Astyanax mexicanus: one gene and its partner. The protein of the gene in region 2 interacts with the protein of the main gene of each other region in a pairwise test. Links are inferred from orthologs where the notes say so. Each region holds a gene or a part of one and is shown on either strand. Other genes may lie near its edges.

Region 1 (7,724 bases), on a different chromosome or scaffold from region 2:
GTTAAAAATGTGGGCTTGTGAACCATGTAGCTGTACATTAAATCTGAGTTTCTATATTCACACCAAAGACATACTAAACTGCACTAGAAACTACAGTTTCGCTTCCAATTTTGCACAAAACCTACTATTCACGTTAATACCATCATTGTGTTAAAACGGCATATGATTATTTCCCACAACTGCCAAAGCTAATCTCTGTGCCCTGACTAGTAAGTCTGTGTAAACACTCAAACTGACAGCTAGCTAATTCCTCTACATCAGCCCTGAGGTAACAACCACCACCAATAAAAAGGTATACATCAACTCATTAGCTAACACACGAAAAAGTGTCTCCAAGTTAAAATACAGCCTTGTAGCTGCACAAATCATAAATAGATTTAAACATAATGAAATATGGAAAGGACATTTAATGCTCAAAGTTTGATAACATACGGCACGGCAGGAGTGAAGAAAACATGCGAATCCTTAACTCGAATGCAGACAAGTGATTAAGACGAGTTAAGAGATATTATAATACATTTAATGTTTAAAATAAGATAAAATAATAAAAAAATATATCATATAAACAAAAAAACAAAACAAAAGGTAATCCAGCTCCCAGCACCTAAGACCAAAAGGTAAAAACATTTACCTTAATTTTATTTTTTTGTTTATGTGCAACCATTTTGAATCTATTGCTACAATACTGGGTGTAAGCCTGGTCACGATAACCAATTCGTAATAGACCCCACAAACAATAGCAATGATATTATTGTAATTTTAAGACTATTTTATTTCATTGATTTAATGATAATAGAAATAAAAGTATTTACACATTACTTTTAATGAGAAAGAGATTTTAATATATTCATCAGACACAGAAACAGAAAAAATGTTTTAACAAATGGCTCGTTCACTTAAAATGTGAGCCAAGTAGATTCAACAGACAACATTGAGGTCAGTGAAAATGATTTAGGTCATGTACATAATACTGTGCGATAAGTCAATAATGTAATTATTGTGACAGGCCTATCAAACTGGGCAAATATAAATGAACATAGCTAAACAGTGTTGTAAAATTCAGCGAGGGAGTGTAATTTGATCCACTTTGACCAGTACACAGATAGCCATCAGTGAGTGTAGTATCAGCTCTCGTGGTGTTTGAGTACAGTGAGGTGACGTGGTGCTCTCCTTACCTCAACACGGCTCGCTCACGTCTGCCGCTGGGGGCTCGACTTCACGGGTGTGTGATCGAGCGCCTGGGTCAAACCCGGCCGGCACGAGACTTCATCCACACAGGTGCGCGAGCGTTTAGTCTGACACGAGGAATCTAATTTAGAAAGATAATAAAAAAAATAAATAAAACACACAATGAGGGATTCTGGCTACAAATGGAGCTAGACATGTTTGACTAACTCCAACAAAAAAGAAGTACCTATTAGACTGTGACCATTGTATATTTGTTAGCGAGCTGTGGAGTTTTAAATGTAGATAAACTAACTAACGCTAGATCGGCTAGTTAAGTATTTTACTATTACTATTAGTACAGGTAGGATTTTGTTCTAACTGCCTGGCCGGCTCTGCTATAGCTATATATACACAAATATATAATACACAAACTAAAACCAGAGCAATTATATAAATAGCAATTAAATAGTAGCCAGACAGCAAAAGTACGTTGAACCAACGTTCATTTTTCCATCTTTAAAGCTCTGAAACGACGTTAGTTTCAGACGTAAGGACTGATCTGTTCGTGCGCAGCGATTATTTAAGGTTGATTTAACGTTGTTTTAATATGTAGCAACTGTTTGTATTAAACTATAACAGTTACTTAGGTTACATCAAACATGTATGTTATTCTTGTTTACATTATATATCATACCTTGTACTGTGTTCTTGCAGTGTAGACATTGACATTTAAATAATATTGGGTAGAAGTTGAATGATAGGTTTAACGTTAATGATTTTTTGTCTTCAACGTTAAAAATATGTATCTAATGCAACTAAAAATACGTTTATTTTATCTTTATTTAAATTAGTGGAGATAGTTTATAAAGCCATATTATATCTAACGTAACTAAGTTACTATATTTTTTTACTTTTCTTGTAAAAGCGCCATTTTATCAGTAACACATTTTAATAAATATACGTTACTAAATTAAGAGTTAAAATTTTGTTAACTTAACTAACGTTAGCTAGGACAGCTAGTAGCGCTAGTTTACCTGGATACGTTACATTTTGAAATGAAGAGGTTGTGAACGCTGATCACTTATTACGAAAAAACTAACGACAGCTCGCAGCGTTAGTTAACGTACTTTAACACGGACTAAAACACACGTACGCGTGTTGGTTAGATAACTAGCTACCTAGCTTTAGTTTAGTTGGCTAAAATAGTAATTTACGTTTTCTGCTAAGGTACTTTAACACACACTCGTAACGTTACGTTACATACGTCGGTTAACCTAGCTAGTTAGAGTTTAGGTTAGTTGGCTAACTCGTTAGCTAGCTACGTTTTCTACTCGCCACACAAGATAATAAAAACAACTTCACTTCGCCACACAGAAGAAACAAAAATAAGATCTAGCACTGCGTACCGAGGGACGACGGTCTTTTTCTCTTGTTCTTGACGTTCTGTTGCGGGTCTCTCCTTTCGGTCTGGGTCTCGCTCCGCTCCGCGAGCCGCTCGTGATTCCCGTTTACATCCACGCTCTTATTCCCTGTCGAGCTGTAGAAGCCCGGTAAGTCCGTGCTGTCCACGGGGGACCACAGGTAGCGGCCGCGCCGAGGCGTGAAGTTGGAGAAGTCGAAGTTCCACGACTCGGTCGACGCCTTCTCCATCGCCATCAAGTGTCCCTTTAACTCCCTCTTTAACTCTTCGTGATCCACCGGCCCGAACAGGCTCCTGCAGGCGCTCGGCTTCGGCTGGTCGGGCGGCCGGTTGTCCATCCTCTCCAGGGTCGGGCTTCCGTTCGAGAGACGCACATTAGACATCGTTCTTTTATTTTTATTTATTTTTTGGCGTGTGAAAAAAAAAAAAAAAAAAACCCACAAAATAACCGATACAAACAGCGACTCAAAACAGGCGCTTTCCTCCAGGCTCAACGCGCTGCACAACAACAGCAGCAGGCATCCAGAAAAACACGCACGCTCACGCTCACACACGCTGTACTCGCCACAAGCGCGTGCATGCTCTGCAAGAGTGAGAGCGCGAGGAAAAAACACACGCCGAGAGAAATTCCCCTCCACAGACCATCAAAACAAAGCGCAGTCAAAGCGAGACGAAGTGCGCACTCCTGTCAGCCTCGCCTCGTAGTAAAAGGGAAGAAAATAACAGCAGGCTTTTCGGTGCCCAATATGGCGATAGAGGGGAGGCTGAGTGGAGAGAAAAATGATTGACACAAAGAGCTATTTAAACGGAGGTGCTCGCTGATTGGCTGGACGACACAGGCCCCGCCCCCTCTACGCTGAGCTCCTCCGGCACAGCGCACCTCCCCCACCCTGAGGAGAGAGAAAAAAAAAAACAGACACACACGCAGCACTGCAAGGTAGGCTTACTACTACTACACTAACAACAACCAACACACCACCTCTCCAACACCGTCCACACAAGCTGCACACAGCCTTCTTCTGTTTCTTCTTAAAATAATTATAACCAACCAGAGCAACTGCAGTTCATAAAACCCTGTTACTGACACTCCTGAATAGATCCCTGAATAAAACAACTCCACATCCAGCTTCAGCTCTAAACAAAACCAACCAAAGCTAGAAAGTATATTTGTAAAAACACATGCATCATCTCTGGGGGGTTTGTAGCTACATGAAAACACCAGGAGTTTAAAAAAAAAAAAAGACTTTACATGCTGATTAAATTAAAAAGCAAAAGTATGTTAGTCTAATTATTAACACATGTAACATTTGCACAGTTTTTTTGTTACTGGTTATGTTTAATTTTAAATATGAAATACCGAACACTGAGTCATTTGGGGCATTCCGTAGACAGAGAGAAATAAAGAGACGTAGCAAACAAAAATGGAACTGTGTCTGTTCCTGGAAGTGAAAAGTTCACCAGTGAAATGACTCTTCCAGGAATACTACTACTCTGATTAGGACATAGGTGTGTCTCAATGAGCCAAACAGAGTAACACAGTTACTGTTCACAGAGCAAAGCACAGAAACCCACACTCACAGCATTTTTACCTAGGTTTAAGTTGGATTTTGTTGGTGTTTGTTTGGGGGAAAAATAATATTTTTCTTCTTTTTTTGTTTACTGTTTTTTTAAAAGCTCAGGCAAAGTACACACTTTTTGAACTGCATAAAAGTCAGTGGCACACCATTTTCCTTTCTTATTTTTCCAACTTTCAGTTTTTTTAAACCATAACCATGCTTACAGTAAGACAAATTCTCATTGTGTACATTATACTGTATTTATAACCAACTACAGTTTCAGTATTGAAATGTCCAACTAGTGTAAAAATTAAACTGGGCAAAAATTATTTTAGCATATGGAATACGACTGGGCCATCCTAAAATTCTTATATAACCTTATTTTATTGCTGTTAGTATAACGTGTTTTTAGCTGTAAGCAAAATATGGGCTGTAAGACATAACTGAAAAGAATTGCATCAGAAACAGTTCAACAGATCAGTTGATTTTTTTAAAGACATTCTAACAAAGTTAAAGATCATAAAAAGATGAATAGGTCCTAAAGCAGATAGAGTGAATTAATTGGAAAGCATCCATAATACAATAAATATAAAACAGAAACACAGAAAACCTGTACAAAAAATGGAAAAGGCCTTTACTGACATCTGGTGGTGTGATTCAGAATTACATATACACACAAACAGTACAACTATTTCTGAAATACGTGCACACAAGTGTGTAAAGACACAAATGTGCACACTCTCCTCTTTCATTCCTTTTTATCCTCTGCCAGTCTGTTTCTCTATATCAACTCAGGATTTAGTGTAGTTTTGCTTGTCCTCCTGCCAGTGGTCTGACACGCCCCAAAATCTTTGTGGGTCCCGCATAATTCGATTTGTGTATGGATTGTTAGTCATTGTGCAGCACACTGCATCTTTTATCCATATTTCTTTAAATAAATATAGACATTCGCTTCGGTGTAAGTAAATCACATACTGAGCCACTTCAGGATGTAATAGTTCTTCTTGCCCACTCTGATCAAACTGAGTCCATTGGAAAGTATATGCTGTCCGGGAACCAGGACCTGCTCCGGGTTGGATGCCCTCTGGTGGTTGAACCAAACACCGCCGTCTGTTATCATTTGAAACCTAAAAACATACACATAGTATATAAATACATAATAAAAAGGAATGCTATAAAGAGGAACAGACATTTCAGAAGAAACTGCTGATATCAAAGCTTCTTTCTGTCTTTATTTTCTGAATTACTGTAGAACAATAAAACACTCAAGGTGGCGTGTTATCACAAAGAACAATTACATCTGTAATAGCATCATAGACATAAACGTTTTTGGAGACAACACATTCCCCAGTCCTTTAATTTATTACTGAATGTACAACATGGAAACACCCATATTAGAAAGGGCTAACTATATATAGCCCTTTTATTTGTTAACTGGGGAAAGAAGGGAATTGTGGCTGATTGTAATACTTTAATGCCTCTAATGGATTAAAAAAAAAACATTGTAAATTGATATTAAACTTGTGTCTTACTTGTGCAATAGAACATTTAAGAAATATCTCATTTGAATACTTAATGAGTATTTTAGGTCCATTTATAGTGTTTATGGAACTAAAATATTTAGCTATTTTTTTTAAAAGGAAGTCCTGTTAAAGATGATGGCGTATTTAAGGTCTATTGTTTATATTCTTCAGCTGTTTTTCTGCTAATAAAATCTGATTTCTTCATATATTGTCTAATTTTGTAAGACAAACTAGATCCAGTAGTAATCAAAGACTTAATTTAAAGCCTTAGTGTTTTATTTTATGTACTCCTAAGTCACAAACCTATATAAAAGCCTAGTCATACAATGAATGAATAAAAAAAAAAAAACACTGATAGAATCTTGAAAAATACTGTGATATACATTTTCGGTCATACTGCCCAGCACTAATCCAGTGCTCGTTTGACTCTGAAAGAATTCGGTTTTAAGAGTTTTGTTTACCTAGGCACCCTCAGAGGTGAACTGAATCAGAACTGAACTGAATTATTACTTAATAAGTATGCATTCTTACTAGTGTTCCTTAAGGCGCCTTATAATAAGGTGTGCCTTATGTATGAAAATAGACCAGAAAATAGACGCTTGTTGATAGTGCTCCTTATGATTCAGTGCGCAGTTCAAAAATATGGTAAACAGGACTCAATAGGTCAGTTTCTGAGTCTAGTTGTAGACTATAATTTTCTTTCAAAGAAAAGTTGTCCATTGAAAATGCTGCGTAATCTAAACCTGGGTTTAATCCCTGCCTGAGAAACTACCCCAATATCTTCCAAATTAAATGGCAGGTGAGCAACAGGGTTTTGATAGCAGCATAAACAGTACAGTTTAATATATCAACAAATAATTAAAAAGTACCCTTTAGGTCCTTCAGGAATGACTTGGGCCCTCCGACAGGCATCCAGTACTGTGGTGCCTGGCTCCAAAAAGAACTCCTTAAACGGAGCTTCTCTGAACAACTCCTTCAGCTCCACATCATCCATCTGCTCCAGAGCTTCAATGCTACTGTTATACAGAGCATTAGTGCACCTGGACAAATACAAACACACAGAGTTTATCTTACACTGCTCAAAACAAAATCTGCATTCCACTGAGATTTGAAATTGGTAAATGATTAATGAAACAATTACAATCTTTCTTATATACAGAATAACGCAATGCTTCCACATTCCTGTTATGTTTTAATAGTTGTCTTGGCCAATGACGTAATCAGTTTGCCAACCAATCAGCACGTCAATAGCCACATCTTTTTAAAACCAAAATATTTACGGGCAAAAATGCACAAATAAGTTTTATTATATTCATTTAAGATTTTAAACCTTTTCTTGCATTCACTCTTGTACATACATTCTAGTGGTTTTATTCATGTTCATGGCACAACGGCTTAAATAGGCTCTCTATTAACTTGCATTGTACTGTATGAATTGATGTTATAAAAAATGTTCTCACCTTTTGGCAGTTTCTAGACCATCCTTGCCATGTACCAGTTTGGTAACCTCAGCAGCTAGTCGTTTGTGGGCCGTTCTCTTGCCTGGATCCCGTCTCTGCTGCTCCATCACCTTCTCCACCTCCGCCAGCGGCAAGAAGGTGAACAGTTTAATGTAGCTGTGGGGGAAGGACCCTGTAGCTTAGTAACACGAATGCATACACACACACACATGGAAGACTAACACAAACATCTTTTGCTTAGTTTTTTTATTTATTTTTTGTCCTATAAATACTTTAACACTTTTTAATCATGGGTCACATATGCAGACTTCTAACATCCAAACAGCAAAACTGCAGTTTCCTGGACATGGATGAAGATGTCAAAAACAAATAAGCTCTTCATCACAAAGTCAGCATACTTTTCTGCTTACTCTGGTATTTTAATACACCTTTGCGGTTTTATTCAGCAAAAGCTGTGTAGATTCACTCACCCACCTTTCCACTGTGCTGTCAGGTAGCCTGAGGAAGTACTGGTAGAACTCAAAGGGAGATGTTTTGTCTCTGTTCAGCCACACAGCATTCCCCGCTGTCTTCCCCAGCTTATCTCCCATTGTTGTGG
Region 2 (8,068 bases):
CACAATACAGAATACAAACATGCAGATAATTAGTAATTAATGATATTTAAGATATTTAAGTTAAGATCATGTTGGAATAAACCCCGTTTTGTTAATATGACGATCAGCTGTTTAGCTGGTTCAGTATTTTGGCAGCTTTACCCAGTGAATTGGTTTTATCTGAATTCCACTGTAACAATTTGGCAACCCTGCTGACTCGCTGTCCTCTCCGTTTCTTCGGCTGTCTGTTGCTTAGTAGCGAGACCCGCAATGCATTTTGGGACACATTTAGCTCGCTTACTATAAATCATGATGCATTGTGGGAGTTTAGTGCCCTCAAAATCACGTTCTAATTCCCCCTTACGATTCGGACACTTGAAGAAAAATGGCCGACACTCAATAGTGCCCTAACTAGTAAATAGGGAGCCATTTCGGTCACACCCAAGGTTGTTTAGCTATTCAAAACCATCCAGGAAACTTAACCTACCAGTAAGTAGCCCATAAATTTGGGATAAAACCAAATCTGTAATAATTTAAAAATACTGGACTTGTTTAAATAACTTAAACCATTTAAAAAAAAAAAAAAAAAAAAAAAAAAACACATCTTTACTTACGCAGCCACAAGTATTGCGGCAGTTCCCACAAGCTGCAGCTTTCCACGAAGCACAGACATGGAAGATAGGAAGCGATCCAGGTAGTTCACTGCCAAGTAGACAGTCTCTGAGCACAGCTTGTACTCTTCAGCAACCTCCACCAGCCAGTCAATCAAGATGACCCTCATGCAGTTTGTGATGTCTGGCTGCTTCCTCATATAGCCAGGCTTGGGCCTGTACCTTATCTGGAAGGAAGAGCAAACTGTTAGTAGGGCAAAGACCAAGTTCTAAAGGAGAGTGAAGACTAGACTCCTTTATGAAACCAGTCAGCCACATCATGTCAAACTGCTACTCCTACCGGACAGCTTTGAGAGCACACAGAGCACCGACTGCCAGTTCTGTCAAGGCTGCCAAAAGAGCCACACCAGCAAGCAATTTAATGCAGAAATCCCATCAGCTAGACTTGAGGGCACTGAAACACTGACCTCACTCTCTCGAAGGTGCCTGTGGATGTCCTCAGCATATTCAGGTACGCACAACACATCCTCAGTAACAGCCACTTCCTCCTCCTCCAGTGACTGCATAGAAGCATCCAAGCATGATCCTGTACACATACAAACTCCAGCTATATTCATACAATTTTATAACAAAATAAGCCAGCACTGTAAGTAGTGTTGCCAACTCCTAAGTAAGGAAAGTAGCTATTGGCTCTCCTAAAAGTCGCTAGAAGTCGCTAAATGACGTCATCACCTAATCTGCATAATACATGTTTTTGAAGCTGTAAAGGATTAATGTTGTTAGAGAAAAAGAAGTGAGTAAAAAACTCTAAATGTTAGAAATGTTACAAATGAACAACTTCAGTTGCTTTTTAAATAGGCAGTCAGGTCTCAAAATAAATTCATTTGTGTAAAATACATTAATCAGTTTTTTGCCATGTTAAATGTTATTAAAAGAGTAGCAGTTAGCCAGAACTGTTATTCTAGGTTGTGTTTTATTTTATAAAAAAAAAAAAGTTTTAAGTTTCCTTTATTTTTTAAACCTATTATAGATGTTGAACAGCTTTTTACAAAGAGGGAGACACTGGACGAGGTGTCAGGCTACGTGGTGAATGAGGCGCAGTTCATTTACAGTGTGTTCGTGAAGCGGTGTGGGTGTGCCCTGACTGAGAGACTGCACTGTGAGTGTTGTGGGCGGGGCTTACAGCACCACCCACTGCTCGCTGAGGACAGTAACTGAGGAGCATGTGTGTTTCTCAGAGTTGCCAAAAGTCTCCAATAACACCACAAAAACCCCGTCTGTCGCTAGTCGCTTTTTTACAATATAAGTCGCTGGAGGGTGTGAAAAGTCGTTAAATATAGCGACAAAGTTGCTAAGTTGGCAACGCTGACCGTAAAGACAAAGTCTAACCTGTGCTTAAGCCGCTCACAGCACTTATCATCTGAAGTGCTGAAGAATGAAGAATAAGCGAGTCAGCTCCCTGCTCCCCAATAAGCCTGGGTGCTGGTACAACCGACTCAGCCACCTGAACACAGCTAACTGCAGAATTGGACTGGTTTGAGGTGTTGATTCCAAGGCCAGACACATTTTGAGATCCTGATCCACGTTTAACAGGAACAGCCTTTTAAAACAAACAAAAAGTAAAAAAAAACTTTAAAACCCTGAATTTTAGAATTAAGCATAAAAGGCATGATAGGGCTCAAACAAAGACTTACTTGGTTACAAGTCCTGTTATGGTGATCATTTTCAGTCAAAACACCCAAAACCACTCTTTGGCCAGCTTTCAGACGAGGACCATCCATCCTTGCCTGAGCAGAGATGTTCTCTCGGCTGCTACGGCTGGCAAACGGAGCGAGGGCGCTAGAGCTCATTTTCCTGGTTACTAGCTGGCAGTGTAGAGGTCACTTGATTCTCTCAAGCTCAGCCTTTGTGTAGGAGAAACAAATCAGTAACAAACGACTGGCTTATTACAACGCAAGGTCCACAAACTAGTTCCGTTTTTATTTAAAAGGCAGTGGTTGAACATCTTGAGAGCATCACATAACACTGAAGAATCTGTTTTTTCACAGCATCTTACAGAGTGGAGGCATGTGGAGAAAACTAGCGCCTTTTAAAAATGTACCATTTGTTTCTACAGGTCTGTTTCAAGCATTTAACCATTTAAAAAACATTAGATGTTTCACATTCCATAACTAATTGTTGTGATTTCTAGAACACAAATGTTAGTCATTGTAAAACATTTAGTCATTCACCCCACAACAAAAACTGTTACGTTGAGGTTGAACAAAAAAAAAAACAAATTTATAGTCATTTTGTATAGTTGTCATTTTCCAATTGGAAAGTTTTCCCTTAAGGTGTTGCATTTGATCATTTTAAAAAGGCAAGATCAGAATTCCATTAAGAGACTGGTGTATAAAAAAAGTAACACCTTTTCAAATAAATAAGTAGATTAAGCAGTGTTTTAAGAGTTATGCTAACAATTGCTTTCCATATCTTTCAATATGGGATATTTGAAGGTAAATATTTCAGTACTGTCTCAGGGTAAGGTCTAATGAGAGCTTGTACTACATTAATATTTTGCCTTTAGTATCTCTACTTTAACTCAAGTATTAGATTAACTACAAAAGTTTGAGTACATAACCCACCACTGCCTAAAACCACATGGGCCTGAATTAGTACCTAAAAATGTCAAATATGGTAAAAAAAAACAAGCTTGTACTAGCAGTGTAACAGTGTTAAGCATTACATTATAGCAATGCCTCAGCTTTCTACACTAAACCAACTGAACAAAAAAAACATAAATAAACAAACCTGTTAAGTCTTCAAGTCTCTCTCAGAAGCAGGAACACCAAATAAATCCGCAAACAAACCCTGATAGTAACTAAACGTGTTTCCACCCACTATATATCCGCAGATCGACATTGAGGTCAACTGTTTAACCAATAGGAGAGGCTGATTGATCCAATCAGGGTCCTGCTCAGGTGTTTACAATCCGGCAGGGGTCAGCTAATAAAGCGGTCACGTGACAGCGGAACCACGGCAACAGCGGTTTTCTCGGCGTCTCTAAACCCCGGCTGCTCCCTACTCCCTTAGTAGTGTAGCGCTTTATAGGGAGACACTATGTAGTTCACTAAGTAATGGTGGAAACAGAAGTGAATTCGGACACTCCCTCATTATTATCCCTTTAGAAAGGCTAAAAACGAGAAATGTAAAAGAACTGATGAACTCTCACTTGCCTCTGTTTAAAATATAATTTTAGTTATTTTGTTTTTCGTTCTTCTTTACTTTTTCTTGTTTTTATTATTTTAATGCTGTCTTCTATCGTTGTTTCTTGTATTAACATGAAACTTTAGACAATTAAAAAAAACGGGTGGCTGAGCCGTGTTTAAAACTCCATAAACACACTGAACTGAGCTCTGAATTACAGTTAGTGAAGCTCTGAACTGATCATGGCGGGGGGGGGGGGGGGGGGGGGGGGGGTGTATTAAAAACAGGTGGATTTGCCCCACCCAAAAACCAATATCGTTTAATGAGGAGACAGGTCACTTGTTTCTCTTAACGCCAATCACGGAGCTGTTTCAGTGAGAAAGTTCCGCCTCTCAGGAGAAACAGCCAATCAGCTTGCAGGTTTTGCGGCGCACGGAGGAAAGTGTATAAAACACGAAAAATAAATAAATTAAATAATAAATTGTGTAGGTCAGCGCATGCGCAGTACCTTTGGGAAGCATGTATCGATGGGTAGGACAATTCAACAGAACAGCGGAATGGCTCCCTACTCCCTCATTAGTGTTGCGCTACTTTGGGAGACACTATGTAGTTCACTAAGTAGTGGTGAAACAGGAATGAATTCGGACACGCCCTCATCATCATCATGCGCCAGCACTGGTCGCATCGGGTCGCATAAACACACACAGGTGAGAGAGGGGTTGAGTCGTGTTTAATCCTCACATTATTGAGCTACATGAAGAAAACCTGAAATTAACAGCGTGTAGCGGCTCGCAATGTTGCCAGATTGAAATTATCTGGAGGAAACGCTGTGCTTTGACAAAACTAGGACAAAACTACCGATTGTTAAAAGTTTGTAAGTGAAAAAAAAACTGTTGTAAGATTCAACAGTGTTGTAGTTAAATATCCAACCTTGCAGAGACAGAGCTTTTTTTTGTGTGTGTGTCCTATTATACAATACGCAAAACACATAATACACATTATACAAATGTTTTTTTTTTTTTTGTAATTGGTGATATTTAAGATGTAAGATAAGGTATTTTATTTAAGATCATGTTGGAATAAAACTTGTAATGTTGTTGATATACTGAACATCAGCTGTTTGGGTGATTTTCTTAGCATTTTGGCAGATTTAAATCCCACTGTAACAATCTGGCAACCCTGGTTTTTTTTAATGTCCCTTTTTACACTGCAAAACAACAGTACAGGTTCTAAGAAAAAAAAACCCTGCATATAAACCCATAACACTGAAACAATGTAAAATCAATATGCACAAAAAAATTCTAAAGTTGAAAATCAACATTGTTTTAATTCATTAGCGAAAAAAATCACGAAATGTTAAGTTACACATGTCATTTTGCCCATAGTTGTCAAAAACAGCAAAAATATTGGGTCAGACATTTTGTAGTTTTATTTGAAATTAATTATACCTTTCAGTTCTACATATTTCCCTATCAACACCATAAAATATACCAATGTGTCTAGAATTCCCAATGTAAAACATAATTCAATGCATTGGTGTTTTACTACCAACAAAGAAAAGTCATGTCATTTTTATCCCGGAGGGACAGGAATAAACAGCTGGTCCAAAAAGGCAGTTTCATATTTAAATGTAAATGAATATCATTTATATATATAATATATAATATTAATATATATAATATTATTTTTTTTATTTTTTTACTAACTCATAAAAGGATTAGGAGGAATCAGACATGTCGGCCAGTATGTTTTTCCTTCAGTGTCAATAACAGAGTGAAAATCATTTTTTTGACAGTTTGTTGACTGAAAAGTTGCAAACTCACTTAAAAGATATACTGAATATGCAGTGTGTACTGCCCACTGGTTTAATTTTGAATGCGGAAAATAATAAGATTTTGCTTTGTGATGTATACAACTAAATGTATATATCTTATGAATTAGACAACATATTCCCTTTTGTCTTGGTTTTATATTTGTATCCAGACCTGCTCTTTATTGTTTTTGCTTTATATTATGAGGCTTAATATGTCTTAATAGTTTCCTATTAACCTTTTTGATAGGAGGCACAGACTGAGCTCTGGGCAGCTAATGATTGACACTTGGTCAGTAAAACTGGATAGCCGAGCAAGGATGTCCCATAAGTAAATTTAAATGGCACTCAAAGTGGAACCCTTCACTTACTACTGCCATAATCGATCAGCAGCCTCAGTCACGGTGGGTACAGTCTGCAGTCACTATCGCCCTTGAGGCACTGAATTCTCTGCATATTTTTTTCTGGAAAGTCTGGGAAGAATATAAAACATGGTCCAAAAAAGAAAAACACACAGAGCACAACATATTGTTGAAAGTTGCATTTTGACCTATTGGATTTAAATATATAGGTAAACTGTATAGTTTAAATTAATATATTTGGATTGCTAATTGCATGTGACTAATGCTTATTGTCGTCTTTCTTTCTACTAACAACTCATCCCTACACATTAGCTTCTTTTTTTAATGTTCATTATTAGATAGGTTCTTCAGGAGCCCTATATAGATTCACCTTATAATTGTCTTGCAGTAAAAAAGCTGTGGAGACCATCCACTCCAGTCCAAGACAGGCAGGAGGTATGAAATTGTCCCCTGCGTCACCTCTGAGTCCTTGATTTACTTTAATTTAACTACATTTCCATGAATAATTGGAGTGTAAACAGAGGGATGCAGCGTGTAATGAGAGAAGAAATGAAAGGGTCAAGCAGCTACTGGACTGCTGCTGAGATAAATCAACACCCTTAAAATGTACTTGAGTGGAAGAATTGATCTACCCCAGGTGTTTGGGCATGCCTTTCTTTGTTTAGTGTGAATGCCTCAAAAATGTCATTCTTTCTAGTGCATTTTAACGATGAATTATTTTGAGCATAAAGCTAGCAAAACATTAAAAATATTTGGCAAGCAAAAAATTATATCACAGATTTTAAAAAGCAGTTTTGTTAAGTGAAAAGGTGGAAGAATCAATTATACAGAACACAACTGGACTGTTTTCAATAGTGGTGGCAGGCCAACTGTCAGGGTGAGGTGCAGGGAAGACGTGGAGGCGGACGTAAACGCAGGTAAGAAAGAAATATTTAATAAATAAATAACAAATAAAGAAACAAGAAACAAGTAAACACATAACAAAGATAAACCAAAAACCAATAACCAAAATAAACAGTGAAACAAAAGAACATAAACCTAAACAAACCAGAGAACATAAACTAAACCAACTAGAGATAATGATAATAAATAAACAGGGAATATATACAAGGGAATAAACTAGAAATAAACAAGGAAATAAACTATAAACGAGAAAACAAGAAATAAACGAGAAACAAGGGACTAAGGCTAAAGGAGACAAGGAAACACTGAGAGAAGCTTTGAAACACAGAGAGAGAGACGAACGACAGGTGAAGGTGCAAAGACTGACGAAGGACAAGTGACAGAGGAGGGCTATTTATACTTACATGAAACACACTAGAAGTGGAAACACCTGGGGAAGGGGCGGAGCTACAAATGAGACACTTGGTGGAAAACTACTGAGACAGGAGACACAGAGGGGCACAGGTCACGTGGGGAAAACACACAGAGACATGAGACAAGGCCAGGACGTGACACCAACACTATACCCCGTCCTCCCACTGCTGAAAACAATCCAAACACTATGAGGAAGTAGTTCAGTATGACTAAAATATATCAGTTGTGCAATATATCAGTTGTTGGGTATAAATTATTCCAGTGCTACATACATATAGCTCGCAGAGTGTAAGGCAGAGAGATGCCAGATTTAAGTTAATTTGTACTTTTGCATGACTGAGCCTGTTTATGACCCTTTCACAACCATGCCAGCTGTTTTCCAGCTGAAAAAGACACAAGCAGTTTAGGGCTAGGATAGTTATGTTAGCTTAGCTAACTTAGATTTAGCATTTGTTTGTTTTCTTGTCTGTGTAAATTTCACTGAAATGTGACTTGGGCAGAGGTGCTGAGCTACTTTTACGATAAGAATGGCTCAACTAAAGTAAATCTGTGATTTAAGTAGCGCTGCTGAGGTACTTTTATGATAAAAAAAAGGCTCAGCTGAAGTAAATGTGTGATTGAGCAGCACTGCTGAGGTACATTTATGACTAAAATTGCATTGCTGAAGTGAGTTCTTGATTAGAAAGAATGTTACTAATGAGATACATTTATAAATAGAAAATCACTGCAGAGGTAAATGCATTTTGCTTTGTTGTTTTGTCTGCTGGGATATTAAACGTTAGTATTCAATAAGTATTTTTAAA

What was found. The genes of interacting proteins can lie anywhere in the genome.
Region 1: the proteins of ccna1 (region 2) and cdkn1bb interact in binary tests that used the Homo sapiens proteins (3 or more experiments, as listed by UniProt). The link is inferred for Astyanax mexicanus from reciprocal best matches to the Homo sapiens genes CCNA1 and CDKN1B.

What each region holds. Positions count from the first base shown.
Region 1 is NC_064409.1:49,296,984-49,304,707, forward strand, and holds the start of cdkn1bb (cyclin-dependent kinase inhibitor 1Bb), read right to left. Parts: upstream 3,341-7,724; 5' UTR 2,971-3,340; coding exon 2,574-2,970; intron 1,310-2,573; coding exon 1,191-1,309; 3' UTR 1,176-1,190; intron 1-1,175. Other genes in the region: yars2 (tyrosine--tRNA ligase, mitochondrial), read right to left, coding at 5,111-5,270, 6,536-6,706, 7,127-7,282, 7,601-7,724. UniProt on the Homo sapiens protein: Important regulator of cell cycle progression. Inhibits the kinase activity of CDK2 bound to cyclin A, but has little inhibitory activity on CDK2 bound to SPDYA. Involved in G1 arrest. Potent inhibitor of cyclin E- and cyclin A-CDK2 complexes.
Region 2 is NC_064427.1:39,499,685-39,507,752, forward strand, and holds the start of ccna1 (cyclin-A1), read right to left. Parts: upstream 3,560-8,068; 5' UTR 3,381-3,559; intron 2,495-3,380; 5' UTR 2,441-2,494; coding exon 2,285-2,440; intron 2,191-2,284; coding exon 1,980-2,190; intron 1,177-1,979; coding exon 1,058-1,176; intron 818-1,057; coding exon 594-817; intron 1-593. UniProt on the Homo sapiens protein: May be involved in the control of the cell cycle at the G1/S (start) and G2/M (mitosis) transitions. May primarily function in the control of the germline meiotic cell cycle and additionally in the control of mitotic cell cycle in some somatic cells.